Linked DNA regions of Drosophila melanogaster. The protein of the gene in region 3 interacts with the protein of the main gene of each other region in a pairwise test. Each region holds a gene or a part of one and is shown on either strand. Other genes may lie near its edges. The genes, in order: elfless, Scp2 and CG9609.

Region 1 (3,600 bases), on a different chromosome or scaffold from region 3:
TGTAAATCGAAAATTACCAGAAATTGTCACTTTACATCACGCCTGCTGCAGGACCTATAAATCATACTGCACACACACTTATGCACGGGCGACACAGGAGCCACAATCTGGTCTAGTATTTTGGCAGCGCAGATCCTTTCGGGTATGAGTGTGCGAGTGAATATTCAAATCAGTTGCTGGCTGCCAATAAATGAAACTTGCCACACATCTCACTCACTGAGCGCACATACACAAACACACGCCCACACACACTCTTAAATTGTGTCGGGATATTTGAATGGTCCCGTGTATTTAGCAAATGAACCGTACTTTCTGTTCTGTTTAACTTTTTGGCAACCCGCACTAACCAAATATTACAGACTTTAGCACGGCAAAGCGATCGGCGAACGGGAATCAAGCTAAATGCCAGATGAATGGCACCGTCATTACGACTTTCGCAACTCTCGGGCTGCCAATTAACTCGCCCGATAATTTAATTACGGTTAGGGCCTCCAGGATTGGGTCCTGATGTGTTGCCAAGTCTTATCGGCCAGATCTGCGGCAGAGCAATCCTACGGATGAAATACGCTAAAATCACTGGGCTGATTAAGCCGAATCGAACTGCAATCCGCACTCTGCGCGAGCCAAACGTACACTGAAGTCGGCCGAAAGCGCGCTGAAAGTTAAATCGGAAGTCGAGAACGCGGCTGGAGCTTCCAACGGCTCGAGACAGTCCGAGCGGCACTTGCAACATGTTGCAAGTTCGTGTGTGACTTCGGGAATTCTATGTTGTTGAGTCCGGACTTTCGATCTTTGAATTTCTTTCGTTGTAGGGAGTTACTTCTGTTAGCATATTTTTTAATTTTATGTTAACCATTTAAGATACAAACATGAGAGAATGCTATAGTCGAGTTCCCTAACTTTTAGATGCCCCTTACTCAGCTAGTGGGAATACGAACGCGAAATTCGATCATTTTTCTGGGATATCGATGAATGTGAAAACATTTAAAAATTGTTCTAAAGTCTGGGCGTTAGAGTGGGCATGGCAAAAAGTTTTGTGTCTAATCGATAAGAATTAACAAGACTAATAAAATTATAAACAAATTTGATTTGGGCGGTTTGTCGTTAGAGTGGGCGTGGCAACAGGGCCAAAAAATCTGTGCTGCGTCTATGTCTCTAGAATCTGTCCGCTTAATCACAACCTTCTTGCTTTTATAGTTCCTATGATTCTTTCATACGGCCGGCAAGACAGGCGAACATAGCCAGATCTACTCGGTTTTGTATCTTAATTAAATGGAAATTCCTTCTATTTGTTTCAACGAATCTAGTGTACCCTTTTACTCCACGAGTACCTGGTATAAATAGTACTTCTTAGGGTGACAATCCTAAGCAAATATCCAATTTGGAAATCATGGAAATCGGACAATGATTGTTGGCGCGTTGAAATGGTACTTTTTATCGCAGTGTGACCTTTGGCACTTAAAATACTGGTATTGTGTCCTGGAACTTTCAAGATTTTTTGACATATGTTCAAACAGCTTTCTTGTAAATTTGCAAATAAAAAGCAAGGAAACGGGTTCAACTGAATTTGTAAAAAGTTGTAAGTTCCAAGGCAGAATTCATTGGTAGTATTAAAACTGCAAAAACAGGTGCGATTTCAAATGGGTGATTCCAGCGACTCAGACTCTTCTACTGAATGGGAGCAGAACACTAGGGTTATTTCCTTACCCTTTTCCAGAAACCGTTCACATTTGAGCTCTCGCCTCAGTTACCTGGTAAGTTCATGTTCACCCAGCTCTGAAATCTATTGATAATACACTTTATGGAATAGGTGGGACTTCAAATGGAAAACTTCAGGACCTCGAATAATTCTGGAGTATCACAGCGAATCCATAACACCGGGCCCACTCCCGTACTCGCGCCCTCCGGATTAAGATCCCGCTTACTCAGCGGTTCCTCTGTAAGTTATTGTTCTAGCCAGGTCCCACCCAGAATCCATTGGTTACATTACAACATCATTTAATAGGAGCGGAATCCAAATGAGTATTACGGAGACTCGGACTCCTCAAGCAGCAGCAGATCTATCGACAGAACCCCATTCCTGGTAAGTTCTTGTTCGTTCATCTCGATCCGGAATCCATAGGTTTTAATAGCTTTAACTTTGTTGTGCAGTTGGAGTATTCCAGCGACTCAGAGTCGTCTAGTTCCAGTGATAGTGAAAGCTCATCGACCAGCATTAGCTTCGATAGCAGTATGAGCTCCACCGAATCATCAACACCAATGGGACATACAGAATCCTCAGATTCAAACGAGGATTCTCCTCCCAACAAACGGATCAAATCAGATGACGAGGAGTCCAAGAAATCTGTCTTGCCCTACAACTGCCCTGTGTGCCTGGAAGATGTCCGCGAGAAGCTACCAGTGTCCACCAATTGTGGCCACGTTTTCTGCAAAGCGTGCATTAAGAGAGCTGTCGACACTGGCAGGGTATGCCCATTGTGCGGAGTGGATGAGCCCGAATTCCATCGTATTTTCTTGTAAGACGTGATATGGCAGAAAGCATACTAAACTAAAAATACCACGGTTTTAAATACCACAAATAGACTTGTGGCATATACTTTCGAAAGACCGTAACACAATATTCACACCTAAAGAAACTGTTGCTCCATTATAACAACGCAAACAAAATCTTATCCCAGGCAACATACTCAAGAAACACAATGCAATCGAAAACTTTCAGCTGAGAAACTAAAACTCAAATACAAGACAGACAACTTTGGCCATAAAACATGGCGCAAGGACACACTCGCATACTTGCAGGAAACCCCGGAAAAATGGAAGGCAAGCAATGAAAATTCCGACCTACCGCAATAAATTCCGCGGAAAAACAAAGCAAGTGATGCCAAAATAAGAGTGAAATGGCCAGCTCACACACACACATGAATGTAAATGAAGTGGAATCACCACCTCAGAAAAACTCAGGGACACCTCAGACACGGCCCTGTAAATCGCGCTTATCCAAAACACAACATGGCATCAGGAGGCATTGGAGATTCAGTTTCATTTTCATTCAAAGATTGAATAATAGAAGGGGGTGTTCCATCCCTACCCCAACAACCTTTGACCTGACACAATGCTCTACATTCTATGTTTTTGTTCGAGTTGCGCGTTCGAATCGCGACTGCGCAATAAACCTGATGCCCCAAACAGCTGTTCTAGGCAAGACCTAGGACAACATTTGCATCCTTAACTGGAGGCTGGCCATCCACGTTTACATTGACGTAATCCACTTGCCAGGTTGGATCTATTCGGTGTTGAGATATATCACAAAGCAGTTCCTTTTGTACTTTAATTCATTTTATTACTGAACAGCTTATAATAAAAATTCTTTATGTATACGAGAGCTTAGTTGGTTTAGCCCCGGCCAAGGCAAAAAGGAATTCGAACAGCAACATATTTCTCCAGCAGTCTTTTCCAGAAGGTTGATCTTTAAATTGACTTGTTACCGCTTGCTGCCGTATTAATGCCTATGATAGCGGGCGCTTCACCAGCCGCAAGGACACGAGCTGCAGCCACCACAAGGACCACATGGACCACAGCAAGGACTACAGCAACCTCCAC
Region 2 (3,831 bases), on a different chromosome or scaffold from region 3:
TTAACCAACATCACCGCCGAAGGCTCGTTAATTGGGTTCTGTTTGAGTTTCGCTTTCATTTTTCGGGCCATGCAGCGCAGCAACGAGTTTCTAATAATGGAAATATGGCGGAAATCCCAGACTTTTATCTCCTCTCCGGCAATTAATAGCCATCTGTGAAGTTATAAATTTCAATATGAAGACATCAATGCTTTAATTGCTTTTTTAGTATCGGCGCGCGAGATGCGAAATGGTTTCATTCGATACAGCAATTTATTGGGCAATCAAATTAGAGAACACCCTACCACTCGTTTATCAACACAATTTGATTTGCATAAACTGGTTCTTGTTTTTTGGTTTGGGCTGCAATGTGTTTATTATGCAAAATCTGAATTCCCGACAGGCGAGGGCAGGCAGGAAGCTCATAAATTATTAGAGAATAAAATGTGGGATGGGGTCCGAAAAAAATGCAGATAGCTGACAAATGTTAGGCAGTGCTGAAAAGTATGCTACACTCTGTCAGACATGCGATTGATCGATTTTCTGGACAAATTGTAGTAGTTTTGATTGCATCAGCATGCAAATTGGACAGTGGAATACGTATTTGGCCTGCCATTGGCAGGGAATCTACAACTCGGTTTGCTGATCCCAGCAGCAGCCTAATCCCCCCGATGACCAGATGACCCAATCGCTTTTCCAATTCTCACCCATCTTCATTCTCAATTCGAGTTGGACGATGGCACAGTTTTCAACCGTCGCTAATTACTTTTGCGCTGCCGTAAATTTGCGCAGCCAATTTAAAATAATAGACAATGCAAGTGGCGTCGCCGTTTGCTCTTTATCTGCTGATGCAGCTCCGGGAATTGTCCGTGGTCCGCTGTCCACTGTCCGCCGTATTCCGCGTCCACTATTTGCCTTTTGTTGCATTGTCCGGTTCGCAGTAATTTCGTGTAATTTGCATTAATTTACAGTTTGACAATTTACAGTTTTACAATTTACAATTTGCAGCCACCGAGGAGCTGTGGAGCCAAGGAGCTCACAATGAGCGGCCTAAGGCCACCGACGCATGCCTGGCCAAACAACAGGACCGAAAAAACAGACACAGGCTGGCTGACTGACTGACTGACTGACAGGACGAGGATCCTTAGAGCGGCAGCGTTCGCTTCTCCTTGGCTTGGCCAGAGCAAAACTTTGGCCACGCTTTCAATGAATTCATTATGGCCCTGACCAAGGTGGGGCGAAGTAAGAATATTCTTCCAGTTGTTAAATTGTCGAGAGGTTGGTTGTGTTTTTTGCAAAAGTACCTCCAGCATACCCTACCCCCACCTTTCTTTCACAAACTATCTGCCCACTCAAGGAAAACTGGGGCTCTGGTTCCTGTTGAGCCTCGCAGCTCTTTGAGCCACCCACTTGTGCTCGTTACTTTTGGCTTGTTCTTTTGTCGGTTTTGGAAATGGGCTTTTTCGAAAAATGTTGCGGCATTATTATTCTTGTAGCGGAAACTCTCAGCACAAACACAGGTGCACTAGCACTAGCACTCGCACACACACACACACTCACACACAGAGATAGACGTTAACTTTACCGTTGCTTCTAAACTGACTCTACACTTTCTGATTAAATTTTGGTACCCTCTCGAACTGGACTCGTCTGCTCGGCAGCGCGGTTGGCCGTCTTGTGATGCTCGTTGCCATCGAGTCAGCGGCTTTTATATGCGCTACTCGTCTGCGCCGCCATCTCTGCCAGCGTCGGCAGAACTCGAGCGCTCTGGGTGCTCTATGTCATCGCAGGGGCTTTATCTTATCGCAGTCGCCGTCTCGGTCGACTCTGCCGACGCCTCTGCACTCGTCATGGTGTGAGTGAGTGCTGCACCCGACACGAGCCTGTGTGTGTGTGTGTGTGTGTGTGTGCGTGTGTGAGTAAGTGTATGAGTAGATGTAGTGCATGTAGCGTGCTTTTTGGCCACCACGTGCACTGTTACGAGCCGAACATCGGCATCGCCGTCGTCATCAGCATGCGGCATATTTGCTCGTGGGTTTGTTTTGGGATTTGACACTCGCAGAAAACTCCATGCTGGGCGCTCTGGTAGCCGGAATGCACTTTATATTTTGGTAATTAAATGGCACGTCTTATCGGAGCGGCATTCGCATACAATGTTGGGCTCAGGGGTTACGACGCCTCGGGTGGCCAAAAAGACACTGAGGGATGTGTGCTGGCTTTCTCGTTTAGTTACTACCAAAATTTAGAACTGTTCTAGAGGTTTTCCTAAGCCAACTTTAAACGTTGATCGCCCTTTTATCGCAAAACTTTGTTCCATCGAAGAAGCAAAGTCTAAGCTGCACAAAAACAATGATAAAGCCGAAAAGGAGGCAATCTATTAGTCAACATAAATTACTAATTTACCAATAAACTATAGCACGCTCCCCATAATACAGCAAACGTATACTCGAAGATAAATCAACATAATAATTTCTTCTGGGAAATAATTCAATTAATTACAACTTGGCAAATAAACCCCAAAGGATTTAAAAGAAATTGAGTTTTGCTAACAGCACATTATGATCACGATGATGTAGATGAGACCCAATACAACATAATACTCGTACAGCATCCACCCAAATACATCGACATTGTTTGCAGTGCACCACAACATAACAAATCAAAATGTGCAAATGTTCTGGACAAATTTTTAGCATAGCCTTGACACACACACAATAAACTGAAGCACTCACACAGGCATGCTCTCCCTTAAAAGAAGGCAACACGGACACACACAAACACATAGGCTGGCTGTGGACTCAACTTGGCTAAAGTTAATTTGGCCCAAAGAAGAAGGCAGCCAAAACAGCTGCTGCAAGAGCAGCAGTAGCAGCAATATAAGGCACACTTGGCGGCATAATTTCTGTTGGCGCATTCAATCTTGTCCAAGAGTGGACCACCAACCGACGAAAGTGGCTAGAACCGAAAAAAAAATGAAAGCATTTTGGCCAAGCAATTTCCAGGCTGTCTGCTGGGTTTTTAATTACACAAAGCAGACATATACAGCTCATGTATTTCAGCTGTTAATTGTCAAGTTTCGGCTGAAATGTCGCTACCAATTTATCAAGCGCCTCAGGAGCAGGCTCCCCGTGCCTTTTTGGCCCACATCCTGTGCTTCTCGCCCAGCGGGTGTCCTGCAGCCTCTGCTTGTTCCACTTTCACGCTGTTCCAGCAGCAGCTGATGCTTATTGCAGATGACCGTTTTACCAATGTTTCGTTCCGGCCACCTTGATTTCTTTTTGTAAGTGTGTGTGTGTGTGTGTGGGAGCGACGGTGCGTGTTGGAGTGGGCAAATGTTTAAATTTGTGGCCTTTTTACCTCTTTGCATCTCAAGTGGCCAAAGGCTACGTCCTGTGTGTGTGTGCAGGAAACGGAAGCCGACATTGACACAGTTTGAAATTAACATGAGCCTGGCCAAAGACCCACTAAAATCTTGAATGCCTTCTAGCGTTTGGCCCCATTTCACAACGTTTAGCTGTCCACCTATTTCATGTAGTTTTTTTTTTTTTGTTTTTGGGCTTCCATTCCACGTCTGCTGCATCGCCTCTTCCCTTCATTTTGCTCCGCCGCATAAGTGGGACCACTAAACGTTCCGTTGTGGCTCACACACGAGCGGACGAAGTACACTGAGAAAAGTTGCTCCAAAAACCCAGTCGAGCAACTAGCAAAACAACAGTAAAAGGCTATATGATTATGAATATATAACAGTGGGTCAAATTGTATGGGAGTAAAAATCACAATTGGTACATTGGCAATATGACTTAAGAATCAATAAATTCATCGTTATGTTTTATCCCACTTTTAAATATATTA
Region 3 (3,831 bases):
CTTGTAAATTTACATAGTTTATTTAATGTAGTGCGTGTATAAAGAGCTATTAACAACGGACCAAGGCTACAAATAGTTTTTGTAAATTTCTTTTTTAATATTAGACTCACTTTCGCAACATACTAGTTTATTTATTTTTAATTTTTGTTTGTTTTGTTTTTCGTGGGAGCACCAGTTGCCTTCTTCCTTACGTTCTTTCATTGCTGTTTTACTTTTCGCATATTACTTGTGTTCCGGGGAGTCGGGGGAAAGGCTTAAGGGTTTGGGCAGTGGTGGCTTATGGGTATAGGATTGGGTTTCTTGGGGGTCACACGGATGAGGATGAGCCATTGCACTATCAATATTCTCGTTCATCCCTATTCTGGTCAACAATGCCGACGTCCAGCAAATGCAGCAACAATGTGAGAAGTTTGGTTGTTAATTTCTTTTGATCGGCAGTTGGCCAGCGTTAAAAGGAGTAGACGTCGTCGGCGTCCTCCTCCTCCCTCCGCCCGCCGACGCGCCTTCAGGTGGTGTCGTTGCCAAGGCCGTTCTTCTGGTCCAGCTTATTCGAGCCCATCTTCACCATGTACACGAAGAATGTGATGATCTCCTTCTCCTTGATGGGTATTGTCTTGAAGTGTTTCATAATTGTCTGCGGGAGAAGAGTAGAGGTTTGCAACTTGATTAAAACAGGGTTTAGAAAACCTTATAAAGGGCATGGCACATTTTTCTGCCTTTTCTTTAGAGTGGAGGCTACTACAAGAGGGCCAACTATGGAGCATCACGGAGCACATTAGACCAGCGTGTTACCCCACTGAAATCCGGCAACAGAAAGTGGACATAGCCTGCTCAATTCGTTAACTAGGTCAAACTTACATCCGCCAGCTGCGCCCGCTTCATGCCCTGCCTCGTTTGGACCTTGAAGTGGCGCTTGTAGCGTCGCAGCGTGCTCACGCCCAGCTGGTAGAGATCGGGGAACTCGTGCAGGTCCGTGTCCGTCTCGTTGCTGTCGTCCTCGCTGTCCTTGCGCCGACGCTTGGTGCGCACCGACTGGATGCGCTCCTTGTGGTGGTCACAGATGTAAATGTGCTGCGCGGCCGGATCGCTGCTGAGCTTGAGCCGCTTTTGGGCCACCGTCTTCTGGATGCGCTTGGAGTAGCTGGCGTAGCCAGCCTGGTTGCGACACCGCTCCATGTCGTCGATTAGGCAGCACGTTTGGTCCGTGTGCCCGCGACTGTCCTCCTCGCCGGTGCTGAATCCGTTGTTCATCCTGTTCCCGATCCTGGCCGATTGCTTTCGAGTTCCTATCCAATCCCCCTTCCTGCTCTGCTTGCTGCTTCTCTGATTTTCTCCGTTTCGCTCCTTTGTCTCCTCTTTCGTCTTTCTCACTTTCGACTATTGCTTTGCTTTGTTTCTCTTTGCAAGAAAAAAATTTTCTTTCGACAGCGCGATGTGACCAAACTGGGAAATGGGGAAATTCCTCCGCAGCTGGCAAGAGCGGACAATTTGAAACTGTTTGCAGTTTCTCAAATATCTTAAATATCAAGTGCATTTTTTTCCAGATTATCGATCAATATTTTTTAATTGGTATTAATAATCGCACAAAATATTAATTAAATAAATATTAGTTAATTTCAGTACTTAAATTTAAAAATACCGTGTACCAAAATATAGTTACCTTTTCCAGCATTGATTCCAATTCCGATAGGTACCGCACACCGGTACGATAGTTGAGCCAATTACCGTTTTTGTCATCACTAGCTCACGTTAGTGCAATGAAATTTGAATTTCCTTTTTCTCAGGCGTATCTGACTGCTTGTCTATATAGAATATTATTATACTCGTCTTCAGACCAATTCTTGATTGTAGTTTCTGAGACGGGGGACTAACAAGCATATATTTGTTAAATGCATCGACGCAAGGAATTTTCACCGTAGTGAGTTGGAGAATTAAACAGAATCATTCAAAAAGACTGGGAAAAGGAATACGCAGAATTTTCTGCAAATAAACAACGGGGTTACTGCAAACTTTTCCCAGGCACATTAAAAAAAATCTTAGCTATAACGTATGTGACAATTATATTTTGAATAAATGAATAATAATGTGACCAATGTAACGTTTTCGATAACGTATCGTACATCTTATTCAGTTGTTGCAGTACAACACTGCTAGGCAGCAATTTCCAGCCCTGGAAAAATACCAAAAAATCTACCATCTCTCCAAAAACGAAATCATAAACGCTTACCAGGGACATCATCGATTTTCTACACCAAATTAAAAGAAACCTATAAGTTATAGATTTGCTACACCAAATTGAAATAAAATCAATCTCTTCAACCTTAAGTCCTTGGCTATTTCCACGTACACGAGTGTGGCCAAATAATTCCACGACATTTGCGGATGTCGCGGTAACCTAAAACACAAAAAAAAAAGAGATTGCAATATTTCGGAGATAAAAACCCTCAAAAATGCCGCCTGGAACGCAAATTGCCAGCGACAGCGATATGGAGACCGCTCTGGAGGAGTTCAAGCAGCGCCAGGGACGCCGCAACAGCATCGGCTCGGCCAAGTACGCGTGCAGCATGCCCAAATGCGAGGCCACATTCAAGCGGCTGGACCAATTGGATCGCCATGAGTATCATCACACAGGGATTGTGAGTATAGTTAGAGTATGTTAAGTGTAAGCCAGTAGTAACGCCGCCACCACTTTGCAGAAGAAGCACGCCTGCTCGTACGAGGGTTGCGACAAGACGTACTCGATTGTGACGCACTTAAAGAGGCATCTGCGCAGCACCCACGAGCGTCCGGAGTCGGCGGCCAAGAAGACGGTGAAGTGCGCGCTGGAGGAGTGCAGCAAGATGTTCATCTCGGTTAGCAACATGACCCGCCACATGCGCGAAACCCACGAGAGCCCAAAGGTCTATCCGTGCAGCCAGTGCAGTGCCAAATTCTCGCAAAAGCTCAAGCTGAAGCGCCACGAGATCAGGGAGCACACGCTGGAGTATCCGTACAGCTGCTCGAAGTGCTCGCGCGGCTTCTACCAGCAGTGGCAGTGCCAGAGTCACGAGCCCAGCTGCAAGCTGTACGAGTGTCCCGGCTGCCCGCTGCAGTTCGACAAATGGACGTTGTATACGAAGCATTGTCGCGACTCGTTGCACGGCAAGAATCGCCATAAGTGCGACCGCTGCGATAGTGCCTTCGACAAGCCGAGCGAACTGAAGCGTCACCTCGAGGTGAAGCACAAGGAGGCGGCGCAGACGGATGAGTGCGCCACCTCCTTCACCTGCAACGAGGAGGGATGCGGCAAGAGTTACTCGTACCTCAGGAATCTACGCCAGCACATGCTCACCGCCCACTCGGGCAGGCGTTTCGAGTGCCAGGCCTTGGACTGCGGCCGCTGTTTCAGCAGTGCGCAGAATCTGGCGAGACATCTGCTCAGGGATCACAAAGATGGTGCGACGAAAAAGGAATTGAAAGCCAAGAAGAAGGACAAGAGTAAGACTGGAGAAGGGGGCAAAACTAAGTCCACATCCCGCAAGCGACGACGCGATGCTGGACGCAGCAAACATTCGAGGCTATCCAAACTGGCCTGCCTGCAATTGGACAAGGAAGATGATGAGGCGGTGCGCGAGCGACAGCCTTTGGTCCTCGAAAAGATCACCCAGTCGCTGAAGGATGACCCCGTCGAGGAGCTGCTGGCACAGACCCTGCAGGATGAAGAGGAAAAGGAGCAGGAGTAGAGCAAAAGGCCATTCAAAGGGACGGGAGTGAGAAGGTCTGGTCAAGAGGCTAACAATTGAATGACTACTTTAATTTAAACCACAACTTCTAAAAGAGAAACAACTAATT

Evidence for each region.
Region 1: the proteins of CG9609 (region 3) and elfless interact in a two-hybrid assay, tested with the Drosophila melanogaster proteins (one large-scale study listed by BioGRID).
Region 2: the proteins of CG9609 (region 3) and Scp2 interact in a two-hybrid assay, tested with the Drosophila melanogaster proteins (one large-scale study listed by BioGRID).

Annotation. Positions count from the first base shown.
Region 1 is NT_033779.5:18,009,417-18,013,016, reverse strand, and holds elfless (elfless), read left to right. Parts: upstream 1-1,541; 5' UTR 1,542-1,640; coding exon 1,641-1,754; intron 1,755-1,810; coding exon 1,811-1,939; intron 1,940-2,005; coding exon 2,006-2,083; intron 2,084-2,151; coding exon 2,152-2,520; 3' UTR 2,521-3,374; downstream 3,375-3,600. Other genes in the region: CG31740 (uncharacterized protein), read right to left, coding at 3,524-3,600.
Region 2 is NT_033777.3:16,582,000-16,585,830, forward strand, and holds the start of Scp2 (sarcoplasmic calcium-binding protein 2), read right to left. Parts: upstream 1,665-3,831; 5' UTR 1,565-1,664; intron 1-1,564.
Region 3 is NC_004354.4:16,785,370-16,789,200, reverse strand, and holds the start of CG9609 (uncharacterized protein), read left to right. Parts: upstream 1-2,192; 5' UTR 2,193-2,450; coding exon 2,451-2,636; intron 2,637-2,696; coding exon 2,697-3,722; 3' UTR 3,723-3,831. Other genes in the region: Sap30 (SIN3-associated polypeptide 30), read right to left, coding at 506-634, 859-1,251.